4 linked regions of the Drosophila melanogaster genome follow. The protein of the gene in region 1 interacts with the protein of each later gene in a pairwise test. Each region holds a gene or a part of one and is shown on either strand. Other genes may lie near its edges. The genes, in order: Cyp9f2, ced-6, CG10589 and CG14325.

The links.
Region 2: the proteins of Cyp9f2 (region 1) and ced-6 interact in a two-hybrid assay, tested with the Drosophila melanogaster proteins (one large-scale study listed by BioGRID).
Region 3: the proteins of Cyp9f2 (region 1) and CG10589 interact in a two-hybrid assay, tested with the Drosophila melanogaster proteins (one large-scale study listed by BioGRID).
Region 4: the proteins of Cyp9f2 (region 1) and CG14325 interact in a two-hybrid assay, tested with the Drosophila melanogaster proteins (one large-scale study listed by BioGRID).

What each region holds. Positions count from the first base shown.
Region 1 is NT_033777.3:12,402,831-12,407,938, forward strand, and holds Cyp9f2 (cytochrome P450 9f2), read right to left. Parts: upstream 3,199-5,108; 5' UTR 3,079-3,198; coding exon 2,873-3,078; intron 2,060-2,872; coding exon 1,540-2,059; intron 1,479-1,539; coding exon 821-1,478; intron 764-820; coding exon 597-763; 3' UTR 510-596; downstream 1-509. Other genes in the region: Sol1, read left to right, coding at 1-50; CG5167 (uncharacterized protein), read left to right, coding at 3,894-5,108. UniProt on the Drosophila melanogaster protein: May be involved in the metabolism of insect hormones and in the breakdown of synthetic insecticides.
Region 2 is NT_033778.4:9,441,923-9,446,789, forward strand, and holds the start of ced-6 (ced-6), read right to left. Parts: upstream 3,016-4,867; 5' UTR 2,762-3,015; coding exon 2,751-2,761; intron 1-2,750. Other genes in the region: Camta (Calmodulin-binding transcription activator), read left to right, coding at 4,511-4,589. UniProt on the Drosophila melanogaster protein: Plays a role in axon pruning in larval mushroom body neurons during metamorphosis. Plays a role in the infiltration of glial cell processes into mushroom body lobes and the subsequent engulfment of degenerating axon branches.
Region 3 is NT_037436.4:20,926,097-20,929,713, forward strand, and holds CG10589 (uncharacterized protein), read left to right. Parts: upstream 1-1,751; 5' UTR 1,752-1,854; coding exon 1,855-3,015; 3' UTR 3,016-3,094; downstream 3,095-3,617. Other genes in the region: fng (fringe), read right to left, coding at 304-539, 603-777, 1,613-1,751.
Region 4 is NT_033777.3:17,625,308-17,629,543, reverse strand, and holds CG14325 (uncharacterized protein), read right to left. Parts: upstream 2,418-4,236; coding exon 2,210-2,417; intron 1,976-2,209; coding exon 1,622-1,975; intron 1,464-1,621; coding exon 1,286-1,463; intron 1,233-1,285; coding exon 1,036-1,232; intron 978-1,035; coding exon 532-977; downstream 1-531. Other genes in the region: AttD (Attacin-D), read right to left, coding at 3,598-3,982, 4,060-4,220.

The sequences.
Region 1 (5,108 bases):
TAATTGCATGTATCTTATGCACTTATAAAGCATACCAATCTTATGTTTAAAATATAGAGACAAAATATTTCGAAATTTTGTTTTCTAATTCTTTAATAAATTTTAATAATTTTTTTCTATTTTAATGGCACACAACTTCATTAAATTTAAATATTTAATCTTGGCCAAATTATCGTTTTAAAAGCAATCGATTTCATGTTGGCTATCGAAGTTTATGCGTAGTAGTTCAAGAACTAACAATTTAAGTTGAGGGATTTTAAGTATTAGGATGTAAATTAAACGTGATATCATCGATAAAAACTCCGCCAAGCATTTTCATTTTCAATAGTTTCTGGTAAAAATTATTTATTTAATTTCAACTTCATTATCAGAGTTACCGTGTAAACGAGCCACTCGTTGTTATCTGCAATCGATCTTTACCTGTTCGATTCAGTTTTGTAGAGTCACGACATAAGTATATGCTATCTTTTTATCATTTTTGGTATAAATTAAAAACAAAGAAACAAATTACCATTAATTGTTTAAATTTAATAATGTCAACTTCTTTAAAACATAACATTCAACAAAACATATTATTATTTTGATCGTTTATAAGATTAGTTCCTTTGAACAAGTTTAATCCAAAAGCCGCCTTTGGGTGACAACTGAAAACCGGAAGTAATGAGCTCTAGTGGAATGCAGGATTTCTTGGCAGGGGCAAAGCGGTAGTCCTTCAAAAGATAGTAGATAACAGCCTTTGCTTCAAGTAGAGCGAATCGGGAACCTATAATAAATACATTTTACATTTTTTCGAAGAACAATTTTGAATCAATCAACTTACCAATGCAGTTGCGTTGACCCAGGCCAAAGGGGAAGTATGTGAATGGCTGAATAGACTCCTTGTTCTCATCGCTAAAACGTTCCGGATCGAACTTCATAGGGTTCTCAAAGTACTTGGGATCACGATGGAAGCCGCATGTAGGCAGCCAGATGACATCGCCCTTCTTGACCTCGACTTTCTGGCCATCCACATCGAAGGTGATATCCTTGTTGCATTCTCGATCGACGGCAATTGCCGCCGGCCACTTTCGCAGAACCTCGTTGACGACCTGATCCAGATACTTCATGCCCATAATTGCCTCATAGGTCAGTTCTTTGCCCTCCAGGTCTTGGTCCACTTGCTGTACCTCCTCGTATAGCCTCTGCTGCACATCCTGGTTCTCCATTAGCTCGTGAGCGGTGAAGCACATCAGCACCGCCGAAGTCTCGAAGCCAGCAAAGAAGAACACGAAACACTGGGCGACAATGTCGCGATCGCTCCACTCGCGAACGGCAGATGCCTTGGTCTTCTCCGTCTGGATGATACCACGAGCCTCCATCAGCATGTTTATCATGTCGGGACGTACAATATTGTGCTCCTGTCGGTATTTCATAGCATCGAGCACCAGACGCACGAAATACTGAGTGCTTTTCCTATCGAAAAGCTCGACCTTAAGGATCTACAAGGATTATTAAAATTAAGGAATATATTTTTTTGATATGTGTGTATGCTGTGCCAACCTTATTAAGACCCTTCAATGCGAAGAACAACATGAACTTCATGCTCTGCAGGAATGTAAATGTGGTCAGCTTTTTTCCCATCTGATAGAAGGTATTTTCGCGATCCTTGAACGAGTTCACTTGCAGTCCAAAGGCTGTCGAGGCGATCACATCATTGGTGAATCGTGTGCAGTAGTCCTTCATGTCCAGTTCATTCTCCTGAACCCTTGAATCATCCTGCTTAAGACAGTCCACGGCCTCCTTGGCCACCTGGTTCATCAGCTGGAACATCTGACGCATTTTGCTGCCTGTAAATGCCGGACTCAGAGTGCTTCGCATATCCTTCCACCGAGCATCTCGCATGGAGAACAGCGAGCTGCCGAAAAGGTTACTCATGTCATGTGGATCATCATCGCTGCTGGTGGCAAACACATTGCGATGATTGATAAAGTGATCGAAGTCCTTTATGGTTATCTGCTTGATAAGATCTGGGTCGCGCACCATTAAAAGTGGTTGTCGCTGCTCAAAGATACCAAAAAATCTAAAAAAAATAATAATGTTAATGACCGATAAGCTTTTTGTGAGTCACACACTGATAAATCAAATCAGAAATTATTAATCGTGCGCTCAACAAGTTTAGAAAACGATAACAGAAATTCGAGTTTATGCATGGCTAGCGTTGTTCATTACCTATCCGACGAATTTTCAATTAACCCATCTCGATTTCTTTTTGGAAAACTATAAATTTATAAAGCGGATTTCTCGTATTGGTCTATAAATAAATCATATGTACATTAAATCCAATTGAAAAGGCTGAGTACAATAATGATTGCATGTTTATAAAGTAACAAAAAGGGTAAAGTCATACAAAGAGTTGCCCCAATATGAAGTTAATTAATAAATTAGATAACCTTATCGTTATAGCACTTTTCAGGAGCTTTATCAATTATTTTTCCTATCAAGTTTGCCGTCCGAGACAAACAACATTTAAAGCTGTCGTATAATCGATAAGATTATGGCAAACTAAACTAATAGAACCAAGCATTTCGCCAATTATCTTGGCAGTTACACACTGCTTTAGATAAAAGACTTAACAAAATATAATAGAGTATTTCTGAATTTCTGTAATTGTATATTCAAAACGTAGTCGAACGCAGCCGCACCCACTAAATGTGTGTATAGATAGATCACTGATTGCCTGACCTTGACATACGATTTTATATAGGCTTGTACGCAATGCTGGAGGCCAGTAGATACACACTTGTTCCAAACGTGTTTTAAGTGCAAGTGCAAGTGAGCCGGATGCATATTAGGTAATCAACTTATTAAATCCGGATCAATGAATTTAACTCACTTCTTACTTCCGCCTTTGGTGTAGAGATCACAGACTATGTCAAACATGGCCCTCTTCCGCAGGAACATGCCGGCCATGTTGCCAAAGTAGAGCACTGGCTTTTCATAGGCGATGCCCCTATCCTTGAAGAAATCATTGTTGGCGGACGCCCAACGGTAGAACAAGGCGGCAGCGATCGCAAATAGGGCGAAGAACTCCCACAACATGTTGACCCTAGCTTGGCGATCTAAGCGTCCAGAATATAACTAACTACGCCACAAACAATCGGGAGCGTTTTGTTGTCCCCACGCAGAGCTTTCTAACAAAGCTTCGTGTACTGCATTTGATAAAATACTTGTTGTCTGTAATACACACAAGTATGTACAAATTTCTGAGCGCAAATGATTTAGAATATCACTCATCATTTCATTATCACGGCGTGTTGGAGAAAATGCTGACGACTCTGAGCATACCAATATTATGTTTAAAATATAGAAACAGAATATTTCGAAATTCTGTTTTCTAATTCTTTAATATATATTTTTTCTATTTTAATGGCACACAACTTCATTAAATTCATATATTTAAACTTGGCCAATTTATCGTTTTAAAATTCATCGATTTCTTGTTGGCTATCGAAGTTTATGCGTAGTAGTTCGAGAACTAACAATTTGATCTGAGGGATTTTAAGTATTAGGATGTAAATTAAACCATCATCACCATAAATTAAATTATCATCGATAAAAAAGGACGCAAAGCATTTTCATTTTCAATAGTTTCTAGTAAAAATATTTTATTTCATTTCAACTTCATTATCCGAGTTACTAGCCACTTGTTGCTATCTGCAATCGATCTTTACCTGTTCGATTCAGTTTTGTACAGTCACGACGCTACTATCTTCAATAAATACAGCTCTTATACGGTGCGATTAGCATTATTAACATTTCGCCAGTCGGCCGAAGCAGACGAATTACCTTTCGGTCTGGAAGTGATAAGACATTTCTAGTCAAATCATTATAGTCGCATATCTGTGGACTCTGGAATGGCGGCTAAGAAACTGGATGCCATAATCTTCGGTGCCTCCGGGTTTACCGGAAAGTACACCGTCTTCGAGGCTGTCAGCGTGCTGAAGGGCCTGCAATGGGGCATCGCCGGACGCAACCAGGAGAAGCTGCAGTCGGTGCTGCGGGAGATGGGTGCAAAGTCCAAGACAGACCTCTCCCAAACGCCGATCGTCATCGCGGACGTGAACAACGAGGCGTCACTGCTAGAGATGGCCAAACGCTGCCGCATTTTAGTCAATACGGCCGGACCATATCGGTTCTTCGGCGAGCGAGTGGTCAGGGCTTGCATCGAGGCGGGAACGCATCACGTAGACGTAAGCGGAGAGCCACAGTACATGGAAACCATGCAGCTGCGCTACCATGATCTCGCCAAGGAGCGTGGCGTGTACGTGATCAGTGCGTGCGGCTTTGATTCCATTCCCGCCGACATGGGAGTCACCTTCGTGGAGAAGAACTTCGACGGCGTGGTCAACTCAGTGGAGAACTTTGTCCATCTGGGCGTCAAGGGAGGTACCAAGGGAACGGGCAGTGCTGCACTCAACACCGGCACCTGGGAGAGCGCCATTCACGCTATCGCCAACCGGAGCGAGTCTGTGGCCATCCGGCGCAAGTTGTTTCCCGAGCGTCTGCCCAACTTTCATCCGGCTCTTAAGTCACGATCGCCGCTTTCCCGTGCCGCGGAAGTGGACAACAAGGTGATCCTGCCGTTCCCTGAAACAGATCGCTCGGTGGTGATGCGCTCGCAGCGTTTCCTTTACGAACTGGAGAAGAAGCGACCCGTTCAGATGCAGGCCTACATGACGTATCCCTCATGGTTTGCGGCCAGCGTTGTCGTGCTCTTCGCCTCTATCATTGGCATTATGGCCAAGTTCTCCTTTGGCCGCCAGCTGCTGCTTAAGTACCCCACCGTCTTCTCCGGCGGCATGGCTTCCCGCGAGGGTCCCAGTGAGGCGCGGATGGAGCGCTCCTTCTTCAGAATGACCATGAAGGCCACAGGCTGGCCCAAGTCCGAAAAACTAGCCGAGACCACCGATCAGTACACCTCTCCGCCCACAAAGACACTGACCGTGAGGGTTACGGGTCCCAATCCCGGCTATGGATCCACTTGCGTTGCACTGCTCTCCACGGCGAAGACCATCCTCAACGAAAGCGACAAGATGCCCGGATCCGGCGGAGTCCTGCCACCCGGAGCA
Region 2 (4,867 bases), on another chromosome or scaffold:
TTCATTTAAAAATAATATAAAAATTGAACTATTCATTTTAATGCTTGTTGATTTAAAAAAAAAACCGAATATTACCGAAAATTAAAGGATTTATTTTTTAGCTAATATGAGGGCATATGCACTTGAAGTCGTTGTGCCCCAGCAAAATGACCTACGAGTTTTGTGTAGGTGAGAACGTGATCGGCTGTAGTTTTCTCTTTTGCGGTTGGAGCCTCACTGCCACACAAACATATGTCTGCTTAGTAATGCCCGCATGTGTGTGTGTGGGTATTTCTGCTGGTTTACCTGTTGCTTTTCAATTGTTTTACATTTTGCCAGAAAAATGATTTTCCACAAATGCCAGAACATACGGCACTGTCTCGAGATTCCACCGAAATGGTTTTGGCCAATTAAAATTACTGCAACAGGTGGGGGAAGTGCGCTCACACACATGTAACCTGCTTATAGCTATATGTATGCTTGTAATCTCGACCTGACGTAAAAACAAAGACACAGCATTGCCGTTGTTTTTGTTATTAGCCGCACAAGACGAAGAAGCAGAAGCAGCTTAGAGAAAAATTTATTTATTTTCGTAATACGTAATTTCTGGGGCTGTTTGGCCGCTTCAAATACAAATTGCAATAAAACTGGTTCCCCAAGTCGACCATATAATAATGTACCAGGATTTGATTATTGTTGTCGTTATTCGGTGTCCAATTGTTGCTTTCGATGCTGCAGTGGTGTTGTTATTGTTTGGTGGCATGCCTTGCATTTTTCTAGTACACATTTTCCTTTTCCATTTTGCCACATTTTAACTGCAGTCCCTTCCCCTTTAACCGCCCCTCTCTCTTCACTAACCAAAATAAAACCGGCTTGACATAAAGGAGTGTGCGTGATGAGGGTATGTGTGTGTGTGGGGCCACTGCAATTGTAGTTTCAGTTTGGATGCAGGCACTGTGGAATGCAAAAGCCGTTTAGCAAAATAAATTGGCGTGAAAGCCTGAAAACCACAAATAGCTTATGGTACTTAATATTTAATAGCTGTTCGGTTTCTAGGTAAACGATATTAAAGGCTGTAAATGAGGTTGAAACCCTTAAACGGGAATAAACAGCTTTTTAAAGATCAAGTAAGTTTCTGTACGGAAAACTTTACTAATAAGATCATTTCAGGCATTCCTCCTGGCCCAGGGAATTTTAACTTTGTTTGGCCCACAGTACTCTCCTTGTCGTTTCGCTGCATCTGGGCATACGTACAATTTTCCCACACCCGCTCTCTGTCACCGCGATCTCTCTCTCTTTATCTCTTCGCCGGACTTTTAAGCTCCTGTTTCGGCTTTTCTCTCCGCTTAATATTGGCCATTTACAGTTAGAGGCCGCTAGCTGCGCCGCCGACAGCAGATATTGCAGCTATTATTTTCTCTCCCGCTGTAATTTTATTACCAGTTTCCTTTCCGCCGGCCAAAAGGAAGACTCCGAACGGCTTTTCATTGAGAGATTTTCCGTGGAGCAACAGGGTGACCTATGCAACAAAGGGCAACGCTATTTTTGGGCTTTTCAAACTGCAACCTTGCTAGTTAAACCGCTTCCACTCATTAAAACTACATTGAATGTATTCATAAGCTTGCAACAAACTAATGAAGTCATATGTGGATTTTTAAAAGGTTTGTTTAACGACATTGTGTTTCTTGGAAGAAATGTCTACGAGACTTGGCTTTATACATAAGTACATAGATATTTTTCGTACTACGGAGAACCTAGAAGGGCTCAGCGAAACTGGCACCAACAACATGGTTCAATGTGCACTTATTGAGGGGGCGTTCGATCTGCCCCCCATTTGCAAGTAATAATGGCTTTTAAAAACTCGCTATTGCATTTTGATCGGGGTCTCTTTTGAATTGTTATCGTCGCCAAGGGGCGTTGACTGCGTATGCTCGTTGGGCGCGCTGAGGGGAGTCCTGAGGGGGCGTGACTTCGAATGCTTGTTTCGTCGCACATGACGTTATCTTGGCGTCGTTTTCATCATCAAAGCAATAGAGTTCAAAGGCCCAATTAGCCAAATAAAATGCATGAAACCAGAAAATACGTTTCTCACTCATTGTTTTATAAGGCGAAATGTCATTAAATGGTATTGTAAATATTTGTGCGCTGCAATAAAATGGCAGCCGAAGCCAGTTATTCTTGTTGCTTTGCAGCTCGTAGGAACGTGCTGGTATTTTTCAAGCGCAATCGCTCGCTCAGTTTTTCGGGCTTTTCAGCTTTTTCAGAGCCTGGGTGCGGAGCCGGTGTCATCAGCATAATTTACGTGCCGATGCCCGCCCCGCCGAGAGTCACGTTTCCACCTCACGCTCCTTATCACATGTCGACGAGCACGGGGAACACTGTAGGAAATCAAAAGTGGGGAGTACTGTCAAAGTGCCACAAAATGCATATACATATGTAAATAAGAAACTCAAAGCTGCAAATCAAACAAGCAACGCGATTCGGATTAATTCCAATGCCTAAATTATAGCCAGCAATGTAATGTAGCAATATTGAGAGAATATCATATTATCCTAACTATAGATATAAACATAAAATTCTAATTTCAGCTTTATTATGCTTCCCATAAGTAAACATTGACCTTCTTAATATACAATAACTGTCAAATTATCATTACAAGATAATTCAGAAGACAAATATTTTGTTTTCTGGGATCGCGGATTATCAAGTTGGCGGGTTCATTTAGCGCGTGTTGCCTGTGCTTCCAAATGAGCAGCGCTTATCTCGTTTACCTCTTGATCATCGCTTATCAGCGGGGCCCTGAACGCCCCCATAAAGGCACGACACACACACATACATACACAAGTGGCACGCACACGGACATGCACACATTTCGAGTAATTCAATTATTTTGTGTATTATTTTCAATGTGCAACAAAAGCGACAATAAAATAACAAGCCAGCGGCAATATACAGCCAGCAGCCGACTTATCACCGCGCCGTCGCTGTTGTTGCAATGCTTGTTGCTGCTGATGTTGTCGTCGATTTCAAACTGCTGGCACTGACTGGCACTGGCACACAGCTATGGCAATTATTCTGTGTTCGCTTCAGTCGCCCCGCCCGTTGATTTTGATAGAGCCAGAGCCCCGAGACTTCCGCTGGTCGCGGGAAGCGGAGGGAAGCGAGGCGGGGTCGGAAAACCGCGGGGTCGGCTGCTGGAAAAATCCAAGGAAAGTTCGGCGAAAGTCGTTGCCTATCAATGATGGGCGGTCTCAAGGGCTGTACATACATACAAACATACATATATTTTGATAGCTTACAATATACAAATGTACATATGCGAATTACACAAAATGTCATTTACATTTTACGCCCATTTTACTTCCCATTTGCATGCTCCTCTTAAAGGATTTTGACATATAACTTTATGATTGAACTAAGCTAAGAACTAGAATGGTATGTAATATTTTCCTTGGGTTCTAACAAAAGTCGCAGGAATAGAACTTCCTGCTCACGTCCAAGCAAACCAATCTCAGCGTTTTTAAGACAAATATGCATTATAAATTCATCAATCCTTCATTATTTATTTATTTAAGATAATATAACCGAGGCCATCGACTATGTACCTATATACTAATATACATCATTTGATTGAACTAAGATTAAAATTTTCGTAGACTGAAAGGGTATACTAGATTCGTTGAAATGTACATATACATATGTAAGTTAAAGAAGGGTGGAACCGTCAGCTGGACGTCGGCGGTAAACAGCGGACACGGCGGGATACATCGGAGTTTAAAATTCAACAGAAAGAAAATAATTATAAAACGTATAAAAAATGACTAACAAAACCCGGATTTGAAATTCAATACGATATTTTAAATATAGTGCCCGATTTCCGATAATTGAATGTTGGAGTTGTCATCTTGACCGATAAGCCGATAAGTGGAACACTTGGGGTGCTGCCAGATGGTTAGATATAGTTTAAACTAATTTATATCAAACATAGACTTGTAAGGTTAAGATTACAAGGTTATTGGCTTGTAAAGTATTCTTGCTTTCTTGTATAATAAGTTATCAATTTTAAAAAATTCGAAATCATTGTCGTTAAGTTTTGTGGGAGCTCGCCCTTTGCAACATCTGGCAACTTTGCCGTCATATGTTTGACAGTTTGACATGCACACAGTTTTGGAGTAGCTCAAAATATTTTCGCTATCGTTTTTTTTTAATAATTTCGTGTGTGAAACGGTGATATTATTGATTTTTGTTGCATTTTATGCATCGTCCAGCTGAAGCACATCGAAATCCGCCAAGGGACTCCACGGCTTGCGCACAGGGAGGCAGTGAAAAAGTTTTGTTTACCTTTTTTCGATATCCCAGAGTTCTGCGATTTCGGTGTCGCTGTGTGCGTGTGCGAGCGCCCATGTCACCTGTGTGTGTGTGCGTGCGAGCTGGTGTGCAAAAATGAAAATGCATTCTCAATAAAGCGAAATAAATGTGCCAACCGCTAAGAGAGTAGTGCATTCTAAAATTGGTTGTTAAAGCTGTGCACATGGAAAATGTGCCCGATATTTCCACCAGCGCTTCGTCCTCTTCTACTTCTAATTCAACTTCCACACTGAAACTCCAAAGTAAGTTAGCCCCAACTCCCCCTACCCCTATCACCCATCCCTCTTCTACATGCATATATGTAAGTTATATCTGTGCTGTAGCCCACGTATCTCCCGATTTTCGACCTGATAGTCGTGCTCTCCTCGATATTGGTTTTCCAATTAGTTTTTGTTTTGTTGTGTTTCGCTTTGCGTTGCGTTTTGTTTTCACGTTGTTGGGGGTTTCTTTGGGCCATTAACCCATTGGTGGCCGCTGTGCCATATTACGCCTTTCCTGTCAATACTGAAATCTCTTTAGT
Region 3 (3,617 bases), on another chromosome or scaffold:
CACTAAGCCGATTGGAAGAATCGCGTGTAACGCTATAGGGAAGCACTTGGAAGTGTTGGAATTGCAAGACCTACAGCTACAGTATTACTTATACCATTAGGAAGCACATCTGTCCAGCGTATTGCTACATATATATATACAAAGAACCTTTCGTTGCTCGTATACTATAAACTTAATGTTAAATCACAGTGGCGAGATTTGATTTTGACGCCTGCCCCAGCGGTTCACAACCGACCCAGTGCAGACGTGCGCCTGCAACAGCCAAATAGGATCCCCAGGGACCTCGGATCGGGATCAACCAGTTCATCTGGGCGGGCAGAAGCTGAAGTAGGGGAAAAGCTGGCAGTGCAGGGAGTAGAAGCGCTTGGGATCGGTTTTCATATCGAAGCCGTCCACCTTGATCACGTTCCACTGGTTTTTCATGTGGGCATAGCTGAAGGACACCTGGTCCTGGAACGTATCCTGGCGTATGAACTCCATGGGCTCCAAATGCGAGTGGAAGTTGTCCACCACGGTTAGAGGAACTTTCAGAAGGTGTTCTGTATATAAAATAATATATATATAAGTTCAGGGTCACTTTGGCTTACTCCGCACAAACTCACCAATAATAAAACCCATTGTGACATCATCCGGAAAACGTATCTTGTCGCCAATGCTGATAAACTTGCCACCACCTGCTATGGGTAGCATTTTTAAAGTCAGGGCTCGACTGAGGCAGAAGCCAGCGCCGCCAGTGGCGAACCAGAAGGTTATCTTCTTGTTTGTTGTCGTGTTCTTCTGCAGGTCGAAAGAAAGTGGAGAAGAGGGCCAAGATTAACGGAAGAACTGGTTCATGAATGGGTAGCCCAAAAAAAGAGGATGACTAAACCAAAGGCTAAACCCAAATAAATATCCTTTTTTTTATCTTCGTCTTATTTCTGGTTTTTGGCAATGGCCCAGAGAAAATTGACTCGAAATGAAAACCGAAAAAGAAGCTTAATACCGAAACGTGGCTTGATTAATTGACCATGTAAATGGACATGTGCGAGCTGGAAACTTAATACATGGGTCTGGACCAAAAGTAAGCCGAGACTCGACAGGATCTTTCTCCCGCAAATGAAGCGTAAAGTTTGGGGTTTTTAATTATGCACGCTGCAGCGATCAGGGCTGGATTGGTTTGGTGTGCCAGATTTTGAATGGATTTCTGAGCACGCAGTTTACCTGGTTGCTTTTGCTCACATCCCTGGCAAACCTGGCTAAACCGATAAAACTATGGCCTGTACATTCATTACGGGATCAGCTCGCGGTATATCAAATGGATCGGACTGAAAAACGGGTTCAAATTCGGACTCAAACTGGGACTCGTATACAGACTGCTGCTGCTATTGCTATTGCTATTGCTATTGCTGTTACTCTTTTGCCGCGCCAGATCATATCGGTTATTAATGATAGCTTGCGCTGGCAGCTGGAAGCCAAATGGCGGCATAGACAAATGGCCCTGGTGGTAACATAAATAACGGCCACGGTTCGGCTTTTGGGCCGGGCCAGAAGATGGAGAAAGGCGATCGCAGTCAGGCTTGTAATTACGAACTATATAGGAAAATATGCAAAAATAACTGGCATTTGCACTTACGCTGTCCAAGTGGATCTCCAGCGGCGACGAGATGCTCGGCTTGCCCAGATACCAATCCACACTGGGGCTATACTCGTCCAGCAGTTTGACCAGCCTCGGCACATTGACATAGTTGTCATCGTCGAAGTGACAGAACCACCTGGAAAACAGTATCAGAGTTAAACACATTCGAATTCGAGTTCACTCAAACTAAAATTCTTATATTTCTTTTACTATATTTGAACAATTAAAAACGTGCAAAAATGCCAGCTCATTTGGATTTAACCCTAGAGGAAATGACCAGGATTGCTTTGGGTGTGCCCGAGTTAACCCACGTAAATGTGGCTGTACTCCAAAGTCTTTTGAATGTCCTTCTCAAGAAACTGAACTGTCAGAATGATATGGTAAGGATAAGTGGCTTCGAGGGCAAGTGTATGGAGCGCATTCTCGAGCAATCCAAAATATCTCCACTGCCCTTCGACGTGGAGGCTATTGTTCCAATTTCCGAGCAATTGGATAAAGTTCAAGAGTTGGACAAACGCATCAAGCAGCTGGAGTGCAAGTTGGAGTGTCACTTTCAGCAGATTCGCATTTGCAACAAGGCCAAGGACAAGAAGTACAAGATCAACCAGGCCGAACAGTACGCCTCTCCTTGCGAGGATCTGTGCACCGTTTGCGATGAGGACAACAAGATCGCATGCAGTCTGCTGGCCAACATGGACTTCATGAAAAAGCTAATGCGACGTATAGCCACACCCATTCTGGACCGAATGGAAGAGGTCAGCCACAAGCTGGAGAAGTTCTACCTCACACTTGAGGCTTTTCTTAAGCAAACCGAAGCTTTATTTAATCGTTTGGAAATAGTCAAGCAATGTGTGGTGGAGATCGAAGGTCTGAGGACTCTTGTTCAGGAATACAACCTTACTTTTCTGGGAACCATGGAGGAACTGCAGGATATGCTCGACAGCAAGCTGGATAAGGTGCATATGCCTGCTCTTAAGAAGTATATACGCGATCGCTTCGATGATATAGATCGCCGGCTGAGATTGATTGAGGATAAGGATGCATGTCCCAGGGCCGCTGGATTTATCAATACGGGGCTATCTTGTCTATCCTGTAATAGTCCCAAAGTGGGTGTCGACGTCGGTCCTCAAACCATGGGACTATTCCCGGACGCTCCGGTCAGGCACCTGCCTCCCAAGTTAACCGGATCACCGGTAAATTGTCAGAAGATCGTGGTCTGTAGATCTGTGGAGAAGGAACCTACCCTAATGGTGCGAGTAAACAACCTTGATCTGAGTGTCCTCTCCCAACGTCTTGCTCGTCCTGCCTCTGGCAAAGTCTGCAAGTTGCCCGAAGCTAATGACGCCATCTATGGCGTTCGTAATTCCTGTATATCCGGTCAGGACCACTACCCAGTATAACTTACAGCTAGTCGCCATCCAAATCGATTAGTTTCCGCAATAAAGAATACAACTCAAGGCTGTGTCCGTTAAGCCGCATATAAAAAGTGCACTAATTTAGATTGCAATTACCCGGGTTGAAGGTAAGAGCTATGTCTGCAAAGCCCAGAGTGCAGCTGCAGTTTTTATAGTGACAAACGATCAGCCATATCCGGTAGCCCACGGTGGACTAATGATGGCATTAAGCGGCAGCTGAAAGGTCCGCGCTGACCATCATTATCGTAGGCTTCGCTATGGGTGCAGTTCCCCTTTCGTTGAGGGGATCCCCTTAAAGATGATATTGGTAACGCGGGAATTTACTTGGATTCCGCAAAGGGGAGGCTCGATAAAGAGAAATTTATACACTGCAATTCCGGGTAATCAGATTTAGTACGCTTTCTGCTTAAATTTTGGCTGCAATATTGTGGATATCTAGCGGACAGGTATCTGTTAAAATAAGGACTTACATTGAATGGATATTAAGGGTAACTACTAGAAGCTAAAACCAATAAATGGTTCAAAAGAAATGTATATTTCTGTACATGTGTAGAGTATCATCTTCTTCGACTTGCCAAGTACATTTC
Region 4 (4,236 bases), 5.2 Mb from region 1:
CAAGTGTTTCCACTTAGTTGGTTGTTGTTTTTGTCGCTGTTGCTAGCCCAGGCCATTAGAAAAGGACAGATGGGTTCAGAGAGTTGGGTCCTTGGCAATCTTGATGGGGTTACCATTGTTTTTGTTGGCTTAAGTCAACAAGGTCGAGGGTTAATGAAAGTTGGCTTGAAAGCTTCGAGGTAGGTATGTAGCTTCACGGCTTGCTGCTTAAGTTGTTGCAATACCATTGGGAGGAGAGTGGGATAGAGGCAAACCACTATATAAGCGTGCACTTTTTAAATTATTTCCTATAATTACATTTTATAATTACTTTGTGCTTTTATTATAACAGATATATTTGCTAACTTGTCTTAAATTGTCTATGAGGAAAACGTTCGTCATCCGAGTTTCCGTGGTGTAGTGGTTATCACATCCGCCTAACACGCGGAAGGCCCCCGGTTCAATCCCGGGCGGAAACAGTTGGAATTTATTTTTTGCTAAATATTTATTTATCATAATGTTCAGTTGTAAAACACAAATATCTAATAGTATTTATAGCTGCATCATGGCCTTAAACTTATCCCGTTGCTTTTGCTTCAAGGCCTCGTGCTTCTTACGATCCACATTTTTAAGCAGAAATTCTTGAAATTTCCTACGCATATCTAACGATAGACCTGTATTTCGAAGGTCCAACCTCTCAAGAAGCTTGTTGCAGCTAATTATCTTCATCAAATGCTTGCCAAAGTCCTCTCCCAAGGAATTATTCGACAGATCTATTTCCAACAGGCTCGTGTGTTGGCAAATCAGCATCATAAACAATTTGGTAATCGTTTCTGTAATTCCACAAGTTCCCAGATCCAACTCCTTGATGGGCATGACCTGAAGTGTGTTGAAGATGGCCGCAGCTCCGTCACTTTGAATGGGATTCAAGCGAAGCACCAGTTTCTCGAGGGGAACATGCCTCAGGGTGCGACTAAGAATGTAAGCCCCTTCTTCAGCTGGAATATAAATACTTCATGAGGCAAGATATGAAATGCCAATTATTTATGTACTTACTGATCTTGTTATTAGTCAAATCGAGGACAGTGAGAGTGCCGAAGGACTCCTTGCCGCACGTCTCCAAGAAGCAGCGGATTCCCGCATCTCCCACTGCACAGTGCAGCAAGGACATTTCGGTCAGATGGTGACATCCTTTATCCAAACTGTGAGCCAGGAATCGTAACTGATATGGCATTAACTTCGTGTTGTGCAGGCTGAAACTCAAAAGAATTGCAGAAGGCACTTTTGTGGAGCAGCCGGTCCTCACCAGAACGTCCTCAACTCGTGGCACTGACTGAGTCCCTTGGTCAAGTGTAGAATATCCCTGACAGTCAGTTGGTTGCAGCCCATTTGGTAATTGCAACCCACCGTCTTGGTGCTGTAACTCAGTCGCAGTTGGCGTAAATCCGGCAGATTGCTCAGTAGGTAATCAAGCGGAATGTGATCTGTAGATGGGTGGGGAATTTCGAATATTTCATACCCTCGCTAATTTGATAAATATTCCGAAATAAACTTTGACAAAGTTGGGACAAGCATAATGCTTGAAGTATGAAGAATGCCATTGCAACAAGTAAACCCAGGGTGTTTCCCATTCGAGACTCACCATTCGCATCGGTTGTGGGCGGGGCGGGTTGAAGGAAACTTATCTCCAACTGATTTATGTACGCCGCACAGATGTCCAGGACGACCTGAACGTTGCCATCCTGCTCATAGTCGCCCGTCGGCATGTTTTCAATAAACTCCTGCACATGTCGCTCCATGTAGATGTTGATCCAGGGCCGCTCCCTGCCCCGCGCCTGAAGTGGGGCGCTCCTCCAACGGTGGCCGTAGCAGCGCTGCCAGAAGAAGTCCTCGCGAATGTGGGCGCTGAGCAGCTGCAGCGGCAGCTGCGTGTCCAGATGGCTAAGGAGGTAGTTGCGGTCCTCGCGACGGCCCAGCTGCCGGTACAGCGGCAGCTCTGCGGATGAGCAATGTCTGGATCTTATCAGTTCGGCAAGGACTGTCAGTCTGGCTACTTTCTAACTAAAAATATCTAAGCTTTATCTAGCTTTTAGAAAATGTAAACATCATTTTTAAAAACAAACATATTCATGCATCTTAAGCAACGAATTTTAAAGTGATAGGAATTTTAAAGTGAATTCTAAATTCCAATTTTTGCGATTTCTTGTCAAGTTTATAGTTAAATGCTCACCACTCCAATTCTCGACAATGGAATCGAGAACAAGATGTCGCAGACTTTTCGCTTGATTGGTCTGGTCCTCCTGGTCTTCGCTGGGGATCTGGATTGTGTCCACTGATTTATCGCCGACTTTGGGCAACTTGACATCGGTGAGATTGAAATAGGCCTTGAAGGTGTCAATGGAAACGGTGCTGGGGAATTCGCAGTACGTGAAATCCATGTTAACAAATCTAGACTCTCAAAATATGCAAACTCCAGTTACTCATATAGTTGAAAATTGAATATTGTTTATTAGTTCGGCTTCTTGGCTGCCAGGAAACGGTTGCCAGCGAAGGTCCTTTATTGATATTCAACTATAACAAAAGGTTGCGGTGAGAGCACTTTCCGAATACGATTGTGTTACCCAAAAACCATCACATTTAAAGATGACTTAAAGTCTGGTCAATTTGAGCTTTCCAATTTTCCTCGAATATCTTTGCTTTCCCAACAGAAAGATTTGCATAACAAAGTCGTTTTGGGCTGCGGGATAAAACCTCAAGTGGCAAGCCGATTATTACCCTAATTACATGACATTACAAGTCAGCGTTTATCCCACTCACCATCGCCCACCGGTCCTCACAGGACCCCTGGGAGTATCAAAAGTATTGACTTGGCATCTTTCATTGCGGCCAATCAAGGCGGATATCTACCTGGGGATTAGGCCAGCTGACATGACTTGCCTTGGTCCTTCGAGGAAGTCAAAGTCGTGGCGGGGCTTCTTGACTGGCTGGTGTAATTTTTACGGCTTAACTAGGACTCCGCCGTGTCTGCGAAAAATGCAAAGTATATTCACGCATAAAACGCGTTATTTATGTCTCGGGCTCGACGACGCGTCGACCGAGAATTAATAACCAACCCCGCGATGGATGCTGCCATGATGCGCATTATTATGGCCAAATTATACACCTTATAAAACAGTTGGGCGCGCTGCTCTGCCGAAACCAAATTTTTATGTAAAGCAATTTATTTTGAATTATTTTTATGGCACTTAACGGTTGCGGTGCTTGCACACATTGGTGCAAAAAAAAAAAGAAATATGCCAAAAAGCTGACTAGTCAAAAATTTGTTTCTCATGGTCTACGTTCGTCTGTAGATGGGTTTTCGAACCCCAAAGGATTTCCCCAAGTGGCTCGGTTATTGTGTAGAATTTCACTCGATGAAATATGGGAAATCGATGTGCACTTTGACAGGAGTTTAAAGAGTTCAATGATATTGCGTGTTACCAAGTAGAAAGCGCTTTTAATAGCATGGTTTATTTAATCTTCGATATAATGCATATAAATACGGCACTTGTTTCTTTTCTTGGCTACGTGCAAGTACTAAATGTGACTATGAATAGTTTCAATAAAACTATAAAGGATTTAAAAATTATATCGCAAGTTAACTCCGGTGCCGAAATCGGACTTGCCGCGCATCGGTCCCCTGAGGTGATGATTGGCACTTCCGGTGGCGTTGAGGTTGAGATTGCCACTTGGAGAGGTATACAGATTTGCTGTGCCAGAAGCCTGGACGGCGGTCATGCCGAACTGAGGAACCCTAGTGACCCCCACTGCCGCCTGGTGACCCGTTCCAGTTTGCAAATTGAGTCCTCCGCCAAACTGATCGTGCGATCGGCTATGACTGTGAAATGCAGTGGCATTCAGAGCGGCGTTATTGCTCTGGAAGAGATTGGCTTGGGCTGCGGCAGTGGTAGTGCTGCCCACGCCCTCGATGTGGCCATGCTGCAGTGAGAGTGCATGACCATTGCTGTGGGATGAAGAGAAGAAAGTTTACAAAATTATAATATTTATTTTAGCATTTTTAAGAACTTTTACTGGACTTACGCGTTGACCGCTCCATAAACTCCCTTGGTGACCGGACCCCCAGCGCCTGGAGTGGAGGCGAATACTCCGGCTCGAGCATTGGCAAGATCATCACCGACCCTTACTCCGCATTGGGCGGTTGCCGCTCCGCTCTTTGGGTTTCCTGAAGCCTGACATTCCATCTTATATAATTCTTTG